Diceros bicornis minor: one gene and its partner. The protein of the gene in region 2 interacts with the protein of the main gene of each other region in a pairwise test. Links are inferred from orthologs where the notes say so. Each region holds a gene or a part of one and is shown on either strand. Other genes may lie near its edges. The genes, in order: UNC119 and ARL15.

Region 1 (10,750 bases), on a different chromosome or scaffold from region 2:
AGCCCACTTCACAGTTCTTGCCCACCTCCCTCTGTCAGTGGCCACCCAGCCCACTCACCTGAGGCTGGAGGCTTCTTGATTTCAAAGAGGACAGTGCCTGAATCCATGTCCCGAATCTTGAACCTGACGAAGTCAATCTTGTAGATATTCTCCTCGGGGGAGCACAGGTAGTCTAGGGGAGACAGGTGGCTGAGCAAGGAAGAGGCCCACCCAGAAGCCCTTGCTGCCAGCTCAGCTTTTGTGGAACCCCAGAGTAGCTACCACTTTCTCTTATCCCTAAGGTCACTGCCTTCCAGAAAGAGAGAATTGAGCTCCTGTCTTGAGGGAGCTCCAACAGTGTGGGGGAGACATAGCTCTGCCATTGGGATCTAATGGGGGACAAACAGCTCCATCCCAGTGGCCTCTGGGGTCAGGGAGGGGGAGGGCAGAGAAGGAGGAGGACAAAGCCACCTCTCCCATATTTTCTCTGCCACCCCAGAGTTGAGGGCCCTTATTCCAGCCTCTGCTTTGCCAAGGCTGGCTCAGTGACTTTGAGCCAAATGAATCTCCAATCTGATGGGGAGCCCCCAACATGAGAGGGAAAATACAGTCCTGCCTTTGGGAACTTCATTCTAAAGGGGGTGACACAGCTCTCTGCCTCGGGAGAGACACAGTACTTCTCTGAAGAATACCCCACCCCCACCCCACAGCTGCCCCTGGTGCTATACCTAGGTGTTTCAGGCAAGGACTGTCTCTGACCTGGGTACTCTGGGGCAGGCAAACAATTTCTTCTCTGTTCCTCTGCACTCCCTCAGCCCCCTCCACTCCCCATAAGCAGCTTATACAAGCCCAGCTCCCTTAAGCAGCTTAGCCAAAGCTCTGCTGACTCAAGCCCAGAACCTGGAATATCGGGGGAGAGGGGGCCACCTTTGCTCCCATTCCCCGTTGATCTCCAAATGAGAGGAAGTTTAGTGAACAGAGGGAACCCTCTCAAAGGTCATCTACCCAGCCTTGGCTCTGAACCACCCCTCAAAGAGGAGTAGAGGCAAGGCCAGGAAGAGGGTGTGGCTGCTGCAACCGGGGGTGTACATGGGGGTAAAGGGAGTCCTCAGGCCCAGAAGAGGAACCAAGAATAGTGGCGGTACCGCCTGAGGAAGCTCAGGAATACCACGGCCTGATCCAACCTTCATGGCTCTTGCAGCAGCAACCGCAACTGCTCAGGGAGGCCCTGTCAACAAATCGGAAGGAGCAGAGAGGCACAGTGAGGGGCTCCAGTGCTGTCAGCCTGCGCAGCATCACATCCTCCCTTTAGAGGCCAGGAAGTCACCCTCTAGGCCCCTGGGCCACCTCCTATCCCCCTGGGGCAGGAAGAGGAAGTGAATGTAAAGTCATTCTCTCTTCCCCAAGCCTGGGACAGCCCCCTCCAGGAAGCCCTCCTGGTAGCCACCTGGCACATTGGGGTCCAGTTGGGACTACACAGGGCTTGGGGGAGGGGTCTGAGCCCCAGCCTGTCCACCACAGCCCACGGTGGGGAGAGGAGAGACGGAGGAATGGAAGCGGGCAGCCCCTACCTCACCTTCTACACAGAAAATAAGCACTAGTCCAAAGATGTAGAAAGCAGGTGCAGGGCATAGGGAGAGGAGGTAACAGAACTGGGAGCAGGATCCTAGTCACCCAACTCCCAGCTCTCAGTAAAGCCCTCCCTTCTTCCCCCATTCTCCAACTTTTGGAGTCTCTCCTTTCATCTATAAACAAGTTCTTGCAGTCTGACCTCAGTCTCTTCTCTTACAAACAACCTATCAACTCCTCTGACCTTAGAGGAAGTGAGGAAGGGGGGATGCCCATGGCTCAGGACATCACTGCCACTCCCTCCCTTCTGCCAGGAAAGGCTGAGACCTGGGACCCAGGGTCAGGCCAGAAAAGAGGCAGAGTAGCCGAGGGCTCAGAACACAACTGCTCCCTTCCCTCAGCCACAAATAGCTTCCTAAGCTGGATTTACGGCCCCGTAATCCAGGAGGAGCAAACCTCAGATCTGTGTGATTAAGGTCAGAAGAGACCAGGGGGTGCCAGGGTGGAGACAATGGAACCCTGTTCTCAACTTCTACAAGGGGAAAGGGATCCCGTGAAGCTCCTTCCCCTACTCATCCTCCACAGATGCCCCACCTCTAAGGGCTATGAATTTTCTCCAAATTAGGAGACACATGGTGGTACACGGGCTGGAAGCCCCCAAAGTTGCAAAATAATCTCTAAAGTTACCTAGGACCCAGGCAGGTCAGCCTGACCTCCAGACATCTTATAATGAAGTTCTGCCCCAGAGCTAACCTGAATGCTAAATAAATGCCACTGTTGCCAACCACAGCCCAACTGGCATCAACATCAGCCTGGTCCAGGCCCCCTCCCTCTACCAATGCCTGCTTGGGCAAGGCAGCTCAGTACTCTGGGGGCCCAGCCAAGAATGGCTGTTGCCTGGCTCAGAGAGGGAGAAGCTGGTCCCCTAGGGACCCAGATGCACAGGCCTAGACCTGCCATCATGGTCCCCTCCATGGCTCTGTCTGACGGTCCTGGGCTCTGTTGCTCCTGCAGCTCCAGAGCTCAAGTCCACTCCAGCACCTGCTCCCAACCCCAAACAGAGGCCCCAAGAGTTGCTCTCACAGAGGGAGCCAGGGCAGGGGTACTGATGAATGAGGCCAAGGTCCAGGGCCACTGCATCTCCAAAGCCTCCTGTTCTTTGAGGCTCAGCCACCGCCTCTGCCTTGAGGCTTCTTAGCCCTGTTCCCTGCCTATGGTGACCTCCCCACCACCCCTGCCCTGAATGCCTAGTTGTCTGCCTCTGGGCAGCAGCCACGAGCAGTCCTGCCGGGCCCTCAGTACTATTGATGAAAGAGCTCTATTTACAGAGCACGCACAGCATGCCAGGCACTGTGCAAAATCAGAGGATTTATTTTCACAATAGCCCTAAGGTAGGTGTCATTATCCCCATTTTACAGGTGAATACGCTCATAGAAGTAAAGTTACTTGCACAAGGTCACACACCCAATTACATGGCAAAGCTGGGACTCCAAACCACGCAGTCCAACTCAGAAACTCAACCACAGTGGAGACTATCCTTCCCAGAAGAGGACAGGCCCCAGTCCAGGCTAATGGGGGCATTAACCCACTCCCTTGAGAAGAGAGCCAACCCACTGAAGCTTTCTGCTCAGGTCCTTTCCTGGGGAGGGGGATGGCCTCAGGTTTCCTGGGGAACCCATGGTGAGTGCATTAATGGTCAGGGAGACCTGAGGGTCTTAATGCCACCTAAGGAACTCAGCCTCCACTTAGCCTCCAGGGTGGGGACTGAGGACAGACTGCACTCAGCCCCCCTCCTCATTACTGCAAAGAAAGCCCTCAAAGGGCTCTGAAGATTCCATAGGGAGGGAGTCACAGTTGCAGCTGCTGCCCACCTCCACCGTAGGAAAGCAGGATGGACTCCTCAAAAAGGAAGGAGTGGAGTGGAAATAAACCTCTAAAGGGAGATGAAGGGGGCACTGGGAGATCAGCGGAAACGGGAACATGGAGATCTCAGGCTTGGAAGCAGAAAGGTAGGGAGCACAGGCAAGGGGGACCTGGGTGGGGGAGGGGAGGCGGGGGGAGAGCGGGAAAGGGGGCGGGGGCCGGGGCTCCGCGCGCCTCGAGGGCCCCCTCCCGCGCTCTCCCACCCGCCCGCAGGCGGCGCTTCCTCGCCGGTGCTCACCGCCCGTGATCCGCTGCAGCCCCAGCACGTCCTCCGGCCCAATCGGCTGCTTCCTCTGCAGCGGCCCCGGCCTGGGCCCCGGGCCTGCCTCCGGCTCCGACTCGGACTCGGATTCGGATTCCGCCTGCGGCTGCGGCTCCAGCTTGGGCTCCACGCTCGGGCCCGAAGTCCCTGGGGCGGGCTCCGCCCCCGTGCCGGCCCCGCCACCGCCCTTCTTCACCTTCATGGCCTCACCGGGCCGCGGCTCGCCTCCTGCCGCCGCGGCTGCCTGAGCCGGCTGGAACCGGGGGAAGGGGGAGCGTCCGCAGCCCCACCCCCGGCCGGGGCCCCAGGTACCGCTCCGCCCCCGGGGTGGGTCCGGCACTGGCCCCGCCCACCCAGCGAAAGGCTGTGGGCGTCCTGACCTGGGCTATTCACCCAGGCCAGGGCGACCCTGGCCCTCATCCATTGTTTCCATGGCTACTTTACAGGGTCCTGGCTACCTCTGCTTACTCGCTGTTCTCCAGCAAGTTTGCCCTTCCCTCTGCCCCTCAAGGGACTTCCTGCCTCAGGGTCTTTGCCTGGGATGCTCTTCCCCCAGATGGCCTCTTCTTGTCCTTCTGGTCTCCGCTGAAATGCCTCTGCTCAAAGGTCATCCCTCATAACCAACCTAAAGTACTAACCCCCAGTCACTACCTGATCAACCTGTTTTTTCTTTCTAATGCATTATCTGAAATTAATTTTATTTGTCACTGACTCTTCCCCCTAAAAGATCAGTTGGGTGAGCGGGCCTGCCCTGTGGCCAAGCAGTTAAGTGCGTGCGCTCTGCTGCTGACAGCCCGGGGTTTGGATCCCAGGAGCGCAGGGATGCACCACTTGTCAGGCCATGCTGTGGGGGCGTCCCACATAAAGTTGAGGAAGATGGGCACAAATGTTAGCTCAGGGCCAGTCTTCCTCAGCAAAAAGAGGAGGACTGGCATGGATGTTAGCTCAGGGGTGATCTTCCTCAAAAAAAAATAAAAATCAGTTGAGTGAAAGCAGAGATCCTGTCTTTGTTCTAATACCCCAGCACCAAGCACTGTGCCTGTTGCAGCCCGTGCTCAATATATTTTCTTTTTTTGAACTGATGAATGAGTTAGCATCTGAGGGCTTACACTGGTACAAGCTATTCTCTCCCAAGACCCCCTGCTAAAAAGCAGAAATAGATGCTGTCTTGTTGGGCAACTGAGGACATGCTGAGAAACAACAGCCTAGCCACCACAGGGCCCTCCAGAACAGGGACGCAGGAAGGGCACATAGCCACATGGAAGCAAGGTGGACCTGTGAGCCCAGAAGGACAGACACTAAGAAACTGTTACTTACACATAAATGAAGGAACAATGAAAGGTATGCTCATACTTCATATCATCCCAATTCACATTCAGTCAATGTTTATTGAGACCCGAGAATATGACCGACACTTCACATGCTTATCACATTTAATCCTCACAACCACCTTGTAAGGGAAGTATCATTAGCGCTATTTTAACAGATGAAAAACTGAGGCTCAGAGAGATTAAATGGCTTATTCAAAGCTCCTCAGATGGTAAGTGCAGAAGCAAGGGTTTGAATTCAGGCATGCTTGATCCCAAGTCCAGAACTTTCCCCATTGCACCACACTGCCTCTAGGAAAGGGTGAAGGGAACTTCTGCACACACACAGCACCAGGTCCTGAGCTGCTGCCTTCTGGACTCCCCGTCAGGCTGTACCCAGCAAGTATAGACAGCCAGGAGGGAGGGGGGTAAGGGAGAAGACCCCCGAGGTGACCTGTGCCTGGCCCCTTCCACGAGAGCAGTGCTAGGGCTTCTCCCTCGAGAAGCGTGAGGGCAGGGGGCTGGAATCCAACCCAGGGCTTTCCCCTAAGGCTCTCTCCCAGTACAAGAGAACTGTGAGGAACAGAGCAGAAGCACAACAAGCTGCCCCTGCCCCAGAGGGAGACAGGCAAGGGCCTTCAACTTCAAGCCAGATAAGGAGACCCAGATGATGCACTTTTTGAGGACTGGGGGTGTGTGCATGGAGTAGGGGAGGACCTGAGCCACAGGAATGGGAAGGGAAGGAAAGATGAACCCATCTTGGAGTGTTGTACTCTAGTTGCTGGAAAGGCAACAGGGGCTGGAGACAAACAAATCATTCGTGACAGGCCCTGTTTATTTGCCTCTAAATCTAACACCTCCCACCCTGGCCAGAAAGGAAGCCTTTCTACTGAGATGCTGCCCTGCTCAGTCTGTCTTCTCAGGCTTTTTCCAGGACTTGCGGGTCTCCAGGAAGATCTTGACCAGGGATAGGAGGATAGGCACAGCCATAGGCAGGAAGAGCGGGATGTAGATAGCAAACTTCTGGTCATCAGGGAAATAGAGGAGGTGGAGGAGCGAGGGGTCAAAAAAGGCACGCTCCGAGGACGTCACAGCTTCCTGGGTGGCAACGAAGGCAGAGGCCAAGTGCCCAGAGGCCAGCTCCTCTGCTGCCTTCTGGACTGCAGCTACAGCCCTATACACCTAGGAAGGGGGCAGGGGGTTACCAATAAGTCCTAGGCATTGGTTGAGGGGGGGGATACTGGGCCTCAGTGTCTTCGGTCTACCAGACAGGTTGCCTGAAGTTCACCCAGGATATACAGAGGCCAGTATAAAAGGGCTATAGTGTATTTTCTTAGTGCCTGCTTAAAACCTCACAGCCCCATCTGGACTCTTGCTGCGGAGCTGGCAGTGCCCTCTAGAGGAAGCCTGGGGCACTCAAGGATGGCATGACACATACTCCGAACCTCAACTGGCTCTCTGGTTTCACCACACTCTGGCCCTCGATGACCACTCCAATTCTAGGCCACAGAATCCATCCCCCGCCTGCTTACCTCAGATGCCACATCGTCCTTGATGACAATGTTGTTGATCTTGCCCAGAAGCTGGGCCAGGGAAGTGAGAGTGGTGGTGGCTGTGGCCAAGTTCTCCACTGACCGAGCCCAGAGCAGCCGGTCTAGCTCCCAGGTCATTAGCCCTTCACTCTTAGGCCCTGAAAACAGGCATTTTGGAGGCACCTGGGGCTGAGCAATCCCAAAGAGCAGCCTGTAGGAACAGTGAAGTGAGGTCAAAGGGGCTGAGAATAACTAGAAGGTGAGAGATGGTTAAGATTCCTAGAATAACTACTAAGATTTTCAATCTTACCCAGAACCACAGGAATTGTAGGGAAGTACCTCAGGGTCTTGGGGGGTGAGTGGCAACACTAAGCAATCCTGAGCTCCAAGTCCCACTTTAACCAGTGTTTTCTCTTTTACCTGTTTCTATATTGGACTTCCAAGATCTTGTTTGAAGAAAGGTTCCATGGTTAAAATATTTCTGATAAGCCAACTTAGTTTAATCTCCTCACTCTGTCTACCCTCTCTTTGGTCAAATGGGGCCACTGAGCCTTGTTATGGGATGATCCAGGACCACCTCTGACAAGGCACGCATTCTGTGCCTCTCTAATCCCTGCACCCAGGGCAGACATTGCTAATCAATCAGAATCCTCTTTCCAGATGAGCCCAGACACAGCCTTAGAATCCTCAACATAGGGCTTCAGGCAGCCACTATCAATAGAGCAGTTAGCCCAAGAATTACTAGCTGTTTTCTTAGGTACCCCTAATCACACCCCATGGACCTGACATTCATGAGTCTATTTTTCTTAAAACAGTTTTTGTCAGCAACTAGTCCTTCTTAGGAGACAGATGAAGCAATCTTTGGAAACCTTTCTTGGTTTCCCTGGGGCTCTAGGCACAGCCAAGGAATCCCTGCCAGGTGAGATTTCATTCCAGTCAACCCAGGAGACTGTGGTCAGACTCAGTGGCCATGCCCCCAAGCGGATCACCCAGGACCTCACCGCAGCTGAGCCAGGAACACCTCCATCACTCGCACCATGTCCACCTCCACTCTCACCGGCAGTTCCGAGGCACTGTAGGCGTTGGGGTCCACATTGTATACCTGCAAGGGGAAAGGAGGTTGCCACGTCACACCAGGACCATGCACAGCACTGCCCTGGACACTCTGGAGCCCATGAGAGAAAAGGAAGACACATTCTGTGCTCTTTAGAAATTACAAACTTGATGGTATAACTATTATTTTTTGAATACCTGCTGTTAGGAGCTTTATATAAATTTATCTCCATTACCCCCTCAAAAGTCCTATAATAGAGTTATTTTTTATTCCATTTTAGAGTTACTACCCATGAGAAACTCCCAGTCTAACAGGGAGACAAAGTTTCCAACGTTGCAAGACTCCCACAGATAGGGCCAAGATCTAAGATATATGCAGAATAGTCCTGAGTAACTGCAAACTGCAAGTGAGAAAGGGTCATATCATAGAAAATATTGACAGAAATAAGCAGCATGTGGGCTGGCAGAAGAGGCACACGAGCTCACAGCACCCTCACCTCCCACAGGCTGGGCCACGGAGGACACCAGAGGAACAAGAGAAGGAAGAGTCTCAGGGGACATCTGTCTGTCCCTGAAGCTTGGGCTCTGGGGTCTGCACAATGTGACCATTACCATAATGCCACCCCAGCGGGGACTGTGGAAGGCGTTGGTGGCCACTGGAGCCCCGTCCTTGTCCTGAATGTACAGGGGGGAGTGGGCAAGCTCAGGTACATAGAGTAGGAAGTTGAGCACAGGGTAAAGAGAGGCAGCGCTGGATCCTGTGGTACAAAGAGAAGGGGAGTCAGATACTGAAACATGCTGGATCAAGATCTTAGTTCCAAAAAAAAAAAAAAAAGATCTTAGTTCCAGGTCATCCTCTAACTTGCTGGTCACTCACTCTGGGCCTCATTTCCTCACTAATCACTAGGATATCCTCAGTCCTGGGTTTCTGTGATAAAGTACCTCTGAACATTCTCCCAAGATGTGCCACATAGATGAAGTGCAGTCCTCAGTCCGGGAACCTCCCCTCTTCTTAAGAGGCCCCCCCCTTGCCTGTCTGAGACAGGTCTCTTGGCCACTGCCTCATGGCAACCATATTACTATAACTCATTTTATGCAAAGTATAAATCTGACCTTATGTCAGTTCCCTGCTAATATCCTTCAATGGCTAGCCATTCATACCAGGTTAGTGTTCAAACTCCTTAACATGGCCCTTTATGATCTGGTGCCTGCCGGCTTTACCTTGGTCACTTTCTCACCATTCAGCCACACTAAACTTAAGAGCTTCCTGAATGTCTCTGCACTCTTACATCTAAGCTTATAGTTCCCTTGCCTGAAATGCCCTTCTATCTCTACTCAGCACTGCCAGAAAGCAGTCCCTCAACCAATATCTGCTGAATCAATGAATGAAGGAGGAATTTGCCAAGGCCTCACATGCCGCCCCTCCCAGACCCCTTGGTCCACACTGGCCTAGCCCTGATGCCTGAAATTCCACAACTAGTGATATACTCACTTTGATTTGCCTGTATTACAGTTCTTAGTCACACTCACTGTTCCTCGGTACCACTCCAAAAATGATAAACCGGAATCCTAGCTTCGATATTCCTCAACCTCACTCAGCAGAACTGTCAATTTGAATTCTGCCTTCATGTTCTTTTGCTGTTGTCCTTCCTACATGAGTGACCATACCTTTCCTGGATGGCTTGCAGGGAGGGAGACACAGCCTAACCATTTGTTTATAAAAAGAGCTGGCAATCACATTTTTTTTTTTTTTGGTCTTTTTTTTTTTTTTTTTAAAGTTTATTTATTTATTTATCCCCCCAAAGCCCCAGTAGATAGTTGTACGTCATAGTTGCACACCCTTCTAGTTGCTGTATGTAGGACTCGGCCTCAGCATGGCTGGAGAAGTGGTGCGTCTGTGCGCGCCTGGGATCCGAACCCAGGCCACCAGCATCAGAGCGCGTGCACTTAACCGCTAAGCCATGGGGCCGGCCCGGCAATCACATTTAATAAATGCTTTTGGATATGAAGGTGTGGAGATGGAGATGTCATCAACAGGGTATCATGAAAAGGGAGCCTAAATGCCCAGCACTTCCTTAACACCCTCAGACCAAGCCAACCTGGGAACCATCACTATATACAATCTGCCCCCAAACCCACGCTGAGCCTTCAGGGTCCCTCCCCAGCTTGGCAGAAAGACCCTCATCCTCAGGAGCTCACCCAGCCGGGACTCCACTGGGTTGATGACGTGGGGGAGGCTGTGCGCAGCCAAGTAGTAGCTGGAGGAAGCTGGGTCAAAGCGAGGGTTCACCCCCAACACTGCATAGTAAAGGATCTGTAGAGCAGAGCGAGAACGTTATTTTGTTTATTGATTTATATTCCACTTTGTCCCAAAGAAGATTTGAGGTACCTTGAAAAGATACAATTAGGACAGGGCAAAACATAAGAGGCAAAATTAGAGCTAAGAGAAAACAGATGTAGGAAAAATATAACAAAGCCAAGAGTAAAGTCAGTACACTAAATACAAGCTTTGAAAACCACATATTTTACCAGGTTTTCTAACAGCCTAAACAAAGAGAGAAACAAAGAGTATAATTCAGTGTCCACAAGATCAAATCAAGTCAGTTATTCAGAAGTAATTACTCCCACTATCAAGACCTGATAAAAATTTCTCCCATGTTTTCCCTAAAAGGACATTGTGTAATATAGAAAGCTACATTCTTTACATCTTTACTGTCACTTCATTAACATATTTCAGGAAGTTTTGTGTTTTATTTTTTTTAAATAAATTTCTTAAGGATGGCACAACTGGTGAATACAGTTCTGGGGGGAGCCATAAGGAAGTTAGTTTTAAACAGCATTGACAAAACTCCCCAAGTCAAACACCAAGGAGGGAAAATAGACACCAGAATCATATACATACACAGGAAATTCCTAGCAAATCAGCAAGCTCTAAGAGCTGGAAGAACAGACTACATTTGTAAACACCAAATATGGATGGACTTTGAAAAGGATGGTGCAGCCAGGAAAAGGACTCCTCAACTTGCTCCCAGTCTCACCTGAGAGTCCACAGAGAAGTTGCCCACAGCACTGAGGGCATTCAGGAAGGGCTGCACATAGCGCCGGACAGCCCCCTCGATGTCCCA
Region 2 (10,400 bases):
CTTTGCATTTTAGTTCACAAAAAAATAAAGAAACATATAGGGGCTGGCCCGGTTGCTTAGTGGTTAAGTTCGTGCACTCCACCTTGGCAGCCCAGGGTTCACAGGTTCGGATCCCGGGCACGGACCTGCACACCACTCATCAAGCCACACTGTGGCAGTGTCCCACATACAAAGAAGAGGAAGATTGGCACAGATGTTAGCTCAGGGCCAATATTCCTCAGCAAAAAAAAAAAAGAAACAGACACATAAAATAAAAGTACCAGAAAGCCAAGGAGCACATCAGAAGCTGCCTCCTCCCCCATGTGCCTTATCCAACCTGTCCTGCCACAGGTCCCTGTAGAGCCACCTGCCTGCTGGTCCTACAGCCAAGGGGATCCTAGCTGGGTGCTCATCCCCCATGACATTCAAGGCCAGGCACAAAGCAGAGGTTCCATAAATGTTTGCTGAATGGATTAATGTAAATATCAGAATGTGGTTTTATTTTTATAGGTATTAAAAAATCCTCAAGAGAGTCTTGTGACTTCCTGCTGGCTGATTACCACTCCAACTCTTTCCATATACTGAGACTAGTTTAAAAGGTAGGCCAATATTTACCACTGAGCAGTAATAGTCATTCCACAGGAAGTATAAGAATAATATCAGCATCGTAACCACAATACATTAGCATTTTATATCTGAAAAGCAGTGTGCTGTGTATAAATCACCTTCCCTCTATTATCTCATTTAATCACCATAGGCATTACACAAAGCATCACAAATCTTATTGCTGTTGCTTTGACGGCAGAAGGGAGAAAAGGTGAAATCCAGACCAATCAACATGTAAGAGTTAGGACAAAAAAAATTTTAACTAAAAGGAATCTAGAAGTTAATCTTGTCCAACTTCCCAGGAAAACCTGGTAGATATGTTTTTCTCTTTCATTATAACTTGACTATTTTCTCCCACCTTATTCGAAAAGCTCTGCACATTGTCTTACTGGTTCTACCCGTCAGAAGAGAGAGAGAAAGATGCTGGTACTCCCTGTTGAAACAGCAGCAAAATCTTTACCCATAGATCTGACAGGTGTAAACATGGCCTTTAATGCCGATTATGACAATGGGAAAAAAGTGTGTGGCCTCCTAGGCAGATTCCCTTAACAGGAAAACCAAGATTTTTATATTTAAATTGCCAGCCAGGCTAAACAAATTATATCTTGATAATCTTAAAGTTTAAGAGTAAAGGATACATTCTGCATTCCCCAGAACAAAACACCTAATCAAAACAGATTTTATCTTGTCTCACTTTAGAAGCTGGCAAGAAAAGTAGAATTGTCCCTTCTGTCTCATAGTAACTCAATTCAACAAATAATACTGGGCCCTACTATGTGCCAGGAACCAAGTCAGGCACTGGGTGATACATGCAATTATTTAGGATTAGTAAATTACCATTATTTCCCTGAACTGAAATCAATAAAAATCCTGTCTTAAATATTAAGGTACTATCCCTGGCCCCCACATTGTCACCTTTAATTGAGAACATTTCTTTTAAGTTAAGAAATCAACAGCAACCTCTAAGATCAGAGAGATTCATCATCTGTTTTAATATCCGCAATCCTATTAAAAGCTGTTAAAAATAGTACCTCTACGGTTTTCTCATTTCTCTTCCTTTCCACTCTCCTCCAAATAAAAAAGGTTAAGTGATAACATCCAGTCTAAAGAACAATGGACAATACATACACACACAGAGCTCCCTCTTCCAGCTTCCAACATCAACAACAAGAAAGTCAAACACCGATTAAAAAGAAAAAAAGAAGAAAAGAAAAGATGGCACACACCATGATTCCTGTCCAGTGCACAGGCAGGACGCTTCCTCTAGTCCACAAGCTCAGCAAAATCTAGAGTCAAACTCAAAAGGAGCATTTTTTTCTGGAAGGTAAGTAAAAGAACTGGGGAACTGATCTATTTTAAAAATAAGACCCCAGATGCAGTCAATGAAATTTTCATTTTTCAGAAATTGGTTTTTAATAAACACCATGTAAAAATTATGCATGAGCAACCAAGTCAATCTGAAAGGCAAGAAGAAAAGAATGATGTGTGGCATGTCATTTTCTCTGAAAGTGGATAAGCAAAAAGTAAACAAAAGACCACCACAGGAGGGCTGTTTTTTTCTTTTTTTTCAGTCCAGTTTCAGTAAAAACTGGACTTAATGTTTAAGGATTTTCTTAAATCCTTTCACAGGGGATACCTGGCACACTCATAAAAACTGACATTTCCTTTAAGATTTTTTTCTCACATCCAATGATTAGCCAGTGATTTTTATGGGACTGTTTCACTGCACTTGTGAATTTTTTAAAAAGCAGAGTTAAAGTGACAAAACAAGGAATTTTTTAATACAAGTGCAAAAGTTGGGTTGTGGGGGAGTGGCAGGTAAAACAAAAAGGCCATGTCAAATTCAAGGCCCACTGATTTTGCCACAAAACTGCTAGTAAATTGACAAAGAAATTAATCTCCTTCTAAGGTAACCTAGATCCCCACAAACATTCCTCTACCCATGCTTAGACTCTCCGGAAATTAACCTGAGTAATTACCCCAGAGTTTTCAGTTTTTTTTCACTAAATGCTTTGGTGGGTTTGGCACCTCAAAGACAAGTCTGTGATGCAATTTGTCAACTTAAAACACACCCAGTAAATAAAAATAATAATAAAATGACCAGAACCGCTTGACTTCCTTTTTAGGTAGTTAATTATCCAAAATTAGCTCTCAGCAGTATAGGTAATGCCACCCTTTCCTACTTGGTAATTATTCTCAACAAACTTTGGCTTTAATCTGGGTAGACTGCAAGACAAAACCATAGAACTGTATAAGACAAGCTACAAATTATAATCAGTTATTTAATTTAGAAAACAATCTTTAGAAAACATTTGACAACTCTCTTAACCTACATAACACTCTGCATTTTAAAGAACGTTTACAATCAGATAACCCCTTTAACCGGCTCTAGTTGTGGGTGGATAACGTCCCTTCATCACAAAAATAGAAGTTACTGACATCAACAAATGAACAACAAAACAGAATTTGAACTCAGAAATTTTGACTCTGCTCCATCCACAAGGTCATATATTAACTGCAATCACCACCCTTCCCCACAAGATCATCAACCACGAAGCCTTAGGAGAAACATCTCCTTCAGGTCAACTAAAATAACCCCAAATACCAGGTAACGTTATAAAACCAGTCCTTGTCCAGCATTTCTTGATCATGGAAGCATTTACAGTCTTTCTTAGTACAGCCTTAAGTGGAATTCCTAGAAGGCACTGGCAAATCTCTGCCAGGCCAATCTGCAGTCGAAAACCTACTGCATGTGTCCAACAAGATGAGAGGAGGATCAACGTTTTTAACCATCTACTTCAACTCTGCACTGCACTAGCGGTTCCGGCTAACAAGGTAAACCTGGTAATTGCATAGGATCGAACATAGCCAATGTTAGTGAGGATGCCCCTGAACACAAACAGGCAGCTCTGGGGAAATATAATTTCCGGAACAAATTCACGGTGCTTGCATAATTCCACAAGAACACACACACTAGGCAGTTTTTAAAATAATGCTCAGTCCCAGCACCGTGCTGACACTTTTCCCACCTAAACTTCTCAGCACAAGCCTGGCCTAAAAGCACAGCTAGGATCCCATCCGTGCACAGGGTAAAGGCGGCATGCACCCACGACAGGAACGGTGGGCAACGCCTGCCCCTTCCCGGACCAGTTCTGGCCAGACTGCGATGTAGTTCAGTCCCGTCTACTTTATGGTAATGTGCTTTTAAACCCTCTCCGCGATTGAGGTCATAGCTTTAGAGATCTAATAACAACCAAATGACTGGGGCTGCCGGGCACTTAGCGAGCCATTCTGGTTATGGCTCTTTAATAGTACCTGGAGTCCTGCTGAAGGAAGAGCGGAAAACTCCTGCTTCCGCGGAAAGAAAGTCCTGTGCAGAGCGCAGAGGGAAGGCGAGAACCCGACCGCGGGCAGGGGACGCCCCGCCGCCGCCGCCGCCGCCGCGGCCCCATCTCTCGGGCAGCCCCCCGCGCCCCTCGCCCCGCAGCGCGGCTGGCCCGGGCCGCACCTTTACCTGTCAGCCCCACCAGCCCTCCGCGCTGCGGCCCCGCGGTCCAGGCGGCCGCCCGTGCGGGTCCCGGCACAGCTCTAGAGGCGGCTGCGGGAGAAAGAACCCCAAAGGCATCCCATCCCAAAGAAAGAAAGCAAAAAGGCTGCTCCTCCAGGCAGAGGGATATCGGGCACGTCGGGGTCCGAGAGGCGACACGCCACCCCTGCCCCGCACCTACCAGATAATCCATGTACAGAAACGCCTCAGTTATCCGGAGATCAGACATCCGGCAGCCTAAAGCATCCGGAACGGCTCCGAACCCGGAAAAAAAAGCAGCGTCTCTGGCTGCGAGCGAGCAGCCCCTGAAAAAGCCAGCAACAACGAAAATAGCCGAGAGCAGCCGAGGAGCCGAAGATTACACAAGGGGCGCGGCGATTGGCCGGGCGGGCGGGCAGAAGGAAAGGAGAGCGCTCATTGGCTGCGGTGACTATAAAAGGCAGGCCGCCGCGGGTGGCACCAGAGAAGCGCGGGAGCGGCCAGGGCGCTGGTTCCTGTGGACAGGGCGGAGGGGCGGGGGCGAGGGCGGTGCAGGCGGAAGAACCAGCGGGCAAAAGCGGAAAATCGGCTGGTGCTGCAGCTGCCTGAGTTCTGTAGCCTCCTAGCTGGGTACAGCCGAGCAGAACTCTGCCCTAGTGCTGGAGAGCCTTGGTGTTCCCTCCCACCGCCCCCGCAGTAGGAAGCTAGCGCTGAAACGTGGGAGGCGTGGTAGCCGCCGACACTTAATGCCTCTCTCCCGAGCGATTTCCTGAAGGCTCTGCGGCCTGGAGACTGCACATCGGGCAGGCTTGAAGTGTATCGGAGGGTAATCTGAACAGGCAAGCCGGTGACTCGGGGATGGGAGGTGGTCCTGGGGGGGGGGTCCCTCCCCACCTTCAGATGAGAAACTGCGAAGGCAGACAGCTCCAGCCTGATGTCCCTGGGGGTACAGTGAAGCCCCGGACGCGGTCAGAGGTAACCCAGGAGGCTGCCTCTTTATGCCGAATTGTTCCCGGAGAATTCACTCTCCACCACGTGAAAGGAAAAGACGAAAAGTTTGGGGACTCGATATAAGTCGATTGTAGACCTCAAACACTGGGGAAGAAGAAGGTGATCAGTTGTCTGCATGCTTTGAGTCCAGTTACAGTGAGCACAAATCCATTGCCCGTGAGGAAAATGAGCAATAGAAGAAACTCTCTGGAAAGACCCAATTAATACAGTGTTTGTGACCCGATGTCATTTTAAGACGTAAAAGTATCTGTAAGCAGGTGCACTTGAGTCTTATACATTTCCTGGTTAAAAAACTTGGAAATTGTCATTGGATCTCACTATTGTATTAAGCTGGGGGAGGGGGAGCTGAGTCAGACAAGAATAAGAACACTAAGAACACAAGATAAGAACACTAAAGGCTTTATCTTTTGAAGATTCAGGCTACACAATGCCAGACATCTTATCAGGCTCAGGTGACTGCAGTGTTTCCCCACCAGAGGTTAAGGAGGGCGAGGGGATTGCGCTCGCTTGTATCAATAATTAGAGCTTCCTTACAATAATATATCAAGAGTAAAACTTCAATTGAAATCTTTCTGAAGTGACTGCCTGACTCTGTTTTAGGGGTTGGATTTTTATTTTCCCCCTAATTTGGCACCTTTGTTTTTTGTATCCTCAGGAATGAATTTCCATACAAGTTTGCCTGGGGCTGCCCAAACAGTTCTATTAGATGACAATAGAATTCATCCTAAACATGCAGGTAACTCAGAGAGTGCAGCCCTTTAGAGAGAACTCCAGGTTGGTGAGCCATGTGATTTTGGGTAAGGTATCTCATCTCCCAGCTGAAAAATGGGAATTCTTATGGCCATAGGGTTTTTTGAAAAAACTAAAAGACTGTAAATAGGCACACTTAGTACAGAGCTTGACTCTCTTGATCCAATTTACAGACAAGGGTGTGTGTGTGTATAAATAAGAAATTCTACTCCTGAAGAACTTTCAGTGAGTTTTTGCCTATGCAGGAGCTAACTCAACTCAATGGCATTAAGCCGTTGGATCCAATTTTGACTGTTCTTGGCATTCTATTAAATCAAACACATGTAGGTTTAGAACACATTTTGACCTGGATTCTGAAGGTGATGAATTTCCGTAAACCTACAGCACAATTGGTTGAAACTAATTGCAGAAGTTGAAGGCCTCTCTAACTTGCTAGCAAAAATAATTCAAATAGACAAGGAACCTTTCGGGTTTGTTTGTTTTCTTCTTTCCAAGAGGAAGCATATTGCAAATAGATAAAGAGCTTGAGTTAGTAAAGAGACACCTTTTGGTCCATTTTCTTAGTGATAAATGATGTCTTGACTACCGCCAAGTCAGACTCTTGAGAAGCCTGTCAGTTTCTCTGCAGGGGAAGATAGTCACTCAGGAGCAGTCGGCTTCTGCCTTTACTTTAAAAGCTAACCTTAGAGAAAGTCCTGAACAGAAGGTCATTAAAACCACAACATGCTTCATGCTACCTCTAGGAATTAGTAAATGAGCCCAAAGCAGGGTGATGAACGAATGTGTTCAAGGAAAAGTTCCAAAGGCTGCACCATTGTACTCTCACCCTATTCCACACCATTTGCACATTTGTTTCAACTGGCACCAAAAAAAAACCTTGTGTTCCGTGTAATGTATTAAAAGAATCATATATTGCCTTTTGGAAGAGTCCTTGTAAAAGAAACCCTGAAGCTTCAGAACTCCATATGGAGCACATTTTTCTAATTAGGTGTTAATCTTCTGGGATGTTAATGTGTCTACTCTTGTGCAGAAGAAAGAGGCCAACTAGATTATGTTGGTATAAATAGATAATACACTACCCACTACATGAAGCTGCGGTCTTAGCTGATAGGGGTGGTAGTAACAGTAGTAATCACCCTAATTCATGTTAAAAATAGAGTGTTGAGAGCTTAGAAGGCATACATTCAACTTATCCCACTATATGCCAAGTAACAAACTGCAGTCTTGAATAAGACATGATCTCATTAATGTAGCCCTGCCTTTGCTCTCAATAAAAAGAATGACCCTCTTCCGGATGCATAAGAAAACATGGATAAACTCATGAGGCTATTGCATTACTACACAGGTTTTGAGGAAAGGCCATCACTGTTGCTTGTCAAAAGTAAGGAGAAATTCTTTTGACAGTCCATAGTCTACAATTCCATGAAGACTGCTGGCTAGCCAGATTTGGAGGAAAAATTTTTGGTTAATGTGTTGCTTGTAGGAAACAAAAACAGAAATGTGTTTTTGCAACCTGGTCTCCCAGATTCTAAAATCCAGAAAAAGCAACATTTAGTGGCTCTTTCCCTCTATTCCCTTTTTGTTGTTCATTTGATACATAATAACTAAAGAATACTGTCTTTACTAGTCTTGTATCATGCGCAGTCAATATATAAAGTTCATCATAAAATTCTTCATAAATGTTTAATGGCTATGCAAAGCTCTATTGTATAAATGTACTATGTTCACAAATCTATTAGATACTACTATTATAAATATTGCAGTGAATGTTTGCTTATAAAATTGTTCACATCTCATTATCCTAATGTCTAGAAATGAAGTTACTAGTACAAAGGGTATAAGTACTTTTTTGTGTGTGTGAGGAAGATCAGCCCTGAGCTAACATCCATGCGAATCCTCCTCTTTTTTTGCTGAGGAAGACTGGCCCTGGGCTAACATCCGTGCCCATCTTCCTCCGCTTTATATGGGAGGCCGCCACAGCATGGCCTGGCGAGCAGTACATCGGTGGGCGCCTGGGATCCGAAGCCCGGCCACCAGCAGCAGAGCGCGCGCACTTAACCACTACGCCACGGGGTGGCCCTGGTATAATACTCATTTTTGTACTGGCTTATAGTCTCATCCCCCTGACCCCAACTCCAAAGTAGGGAGTGCTTATCTTGCCTCATTCTTGCCTTGATAGAGTATACTATTCCTTAATAGCTGAGAGATGGTATCTTTCATTAGAGTAACTCAAACCACGGATACTCCTTTTTCAGAAAAAGTGGAGATGTCCTGACACTGAGTTCTACGCAGGTCATCAGGCACACTTGGTTTGCTCACTTACTGTCTCCAATAACTCATGTGACCTTAAAACTCTCTTCTGAGCCCTGCCCTCTTTTTTTTTTCCAGATGGTTGCCTTCACACAAACACACACCCCATCTCTGATTTACCCCCAGTCCCCTTCCCTGCTTCCTAAACCTAAACAAAGTACCACTATGTCCTAGAAGATGAACCTCACCAGAGCGGGATGCCCCTACATGAAGCTGCCAGCAGAACTTGATTCATAAATGGAAGAGGTCAGAATGAGGTTGCAGGAGCAAGGACTTAACCCTAAGAAGATAACTCACCTCTTCCAAAAAGGATTTGCTGGGTCTTAGAATATTAAAGCAAGATAAGGCATTTAAAATGAAGAATCACCACTTAACATGGTAAATAATTATACCAGAAAGAGGTAACTAGACATCACAGGCAACTGCTATTCAAGCACCAAATATCAAGAAGCTATGTAAATCCCTCTTAATACCTCCCCAGCATCATTTAATCTCTTAGATGCAGTACTGCATCACTGATTGTATTAGTTTTCTATTGCCACTGTAACAAATTACCACAAACTTAATGACTTAACACAAATTTATTAAAGTTCTGCAAGCTAGAAGTCCTGAATCTTATGGGGCTAACATCAAGGTGTTGGCAAGGCTGCTTCCTTCTGGAGGTCCCAAGGGAGAATTCCTTGTGTTTTACAGTTTCTGGTGGCTGTCTGCATTCCTTGGCTTGTGGCCACATCACTCCAGTCTCTGCCTCTGTGGTCACACTGCCTTCCCCTCTTCTGTAATCTAGTCTCCTACCTCCCTCTTCTAAGGACAATTGTGATTGCATTTAGGGCCTACCCAGATAATCCAGGATAATTTCCCTATCTCAAAATCCTTAATTTATCACATCTGCAAAGTCAGTTTTGCCATTTAAGGTAACATTCACAGGTTCCAGGAATTAGGACCTGATATCTTTGGGGCCATTATTCAACCTAACACACTGATCTTGTGCGGAAAAAGCAAATACTTCCATGGAAATCCAAAGGGACAAGCACAATTTACTAATGCCTAAGGAATCAGAAAAGTGGGGATCAACTCCCAGCTTCAGATTAAATTTGATTTGATTAATTAAAACTTTGTGATGCAGCCCCAGGGTCCTTTCCAGTTCTATTTGCACAGTTCACTTCTCATCTGGCATTTGAGTACATTTTTCTTCCTTTACTTACACCTTTTAAAAAAATAACCTTATTGAGATATAATTCCCATACCATACAATTCACCCATATAAAATATACGATTCAGGGGCTGGCCCGGTGGCGCCAGCGGTTAAGTGCGTGCGCTCCACTGCAGCGGCCCGGGGTTCGCCGGTTTGGATCCCGGGCGTGCACCGACACACTGCTTGGCAAGCCATGCTGTGGTGGTGTCCCATATAAAGTGGAGGAAGATGGGCACGGATGTTAGCCCAGGGCCAGTATTCCTCAGTAAAAAAAAAAAAAAAAAGGAGGATTGGCAGATGTTAGCTCAGGGCTGATCTCACACAAAAAAATAATAAATATACGATAGAATGGGTTTTGGCATATTTACAGATTTGTGCAACTATCTAAAATCTACAACTTTAGAACATTTTCATCACCTCTAAAAGAAACCCTGAACCTTTTAGCTATCACCCTCCACCCCTACCCTCACCCCTGGGAAAATACTAATTTCTGTCTCTACAGACTTCTCTATTCTGGACTTTCATACAAATGGAATCATAAAATATGTGGCCTTTTTTAACTGGCTTCTTGCACTTTGCATGTTTTCGAGATTCATCCATGTTGTAGCATGTACATTCCTTTCTATGGCTAAATAGTAGTCCATTGCATGGATATACCATACTTGGTTTATCCATTCATCCATTGATGGACATTTGGGTCATTTCCACTTTTCAGCTCTTATGAATACTGCTCCTTTATTATAATTTTGGTCTCTATTTCTTTTGATCACACCAATATTAACTTTTTCTTCAGACCTCTTCCTCCTTTTTCCTTCCTCTTCTGTAGCTAAATGTTCTACTTGTTCTAGACCAATTGGTCTAAATATGAATGCTATTTTCTCCCTTCAACATTTAACTCAGAATTTTCTTATAAAGAATTTTATTTATCTGCTCAGTTTGATTAGTCCTTCACTCTCCACAACTTCTTGAGCTCCAGTAGTCAGCTTTTTTCTGTTCTAGATTGAATATAGAAGGATAAAATCT

Evidence for each region.
Region 1: the proteins of ARL15 (region 2) and UNC119 interact in binary tests that used the Homo sapiens proteins (3 or more experiments, as listed by UniProt). The link is inferred for Diceros bicornis minor from reciprocal best matches to the Homo sapiens genes ARL15 and UNC119.

The regions. Positions count from the first base shown.
Region 1 is NC_080757.1:18,943,074-18,953,823, reverse strand, and holds the start of UNC119 (protein unc-119 homolog A), read right to left. Parts: upstream 4,005-10,750; 5' UTR 3,936-4,004; coding exon 3,710-3,935; intron 173-3,709; coding exon 59-172; intron 1-58. Other genes in the region: PIGS (GPI transamidase component PIG-S), read right to left, coding at 5,947-6,222, 6,573-6,783, 7,574-7,674, 8,238-8,383, 9,825-9,939, 10,664-10,750. UniProt on the Homo sapiens protein: Involved in synaptic functions in photoreceptor cells, the signal transduction in immune cells as a Src family kinase activator, endosome recycling, the uptake of bacteria and endocytosis, protein trafficking in sensory neurons and as lipid-binding chaperone with specificity for a diverse subset of myristoylated proteins.
Region 2 is NC_080759.1:21,388,112-21,398,511, reverse strand, and holds the start of ARL15 (ADP-ribosylation factor-like protein 15), read right to left. Parts: upstream 4,431-10,400; 5' UTR 4,362-4,430; coding exon 4,314-4,361; intron 1-4,313.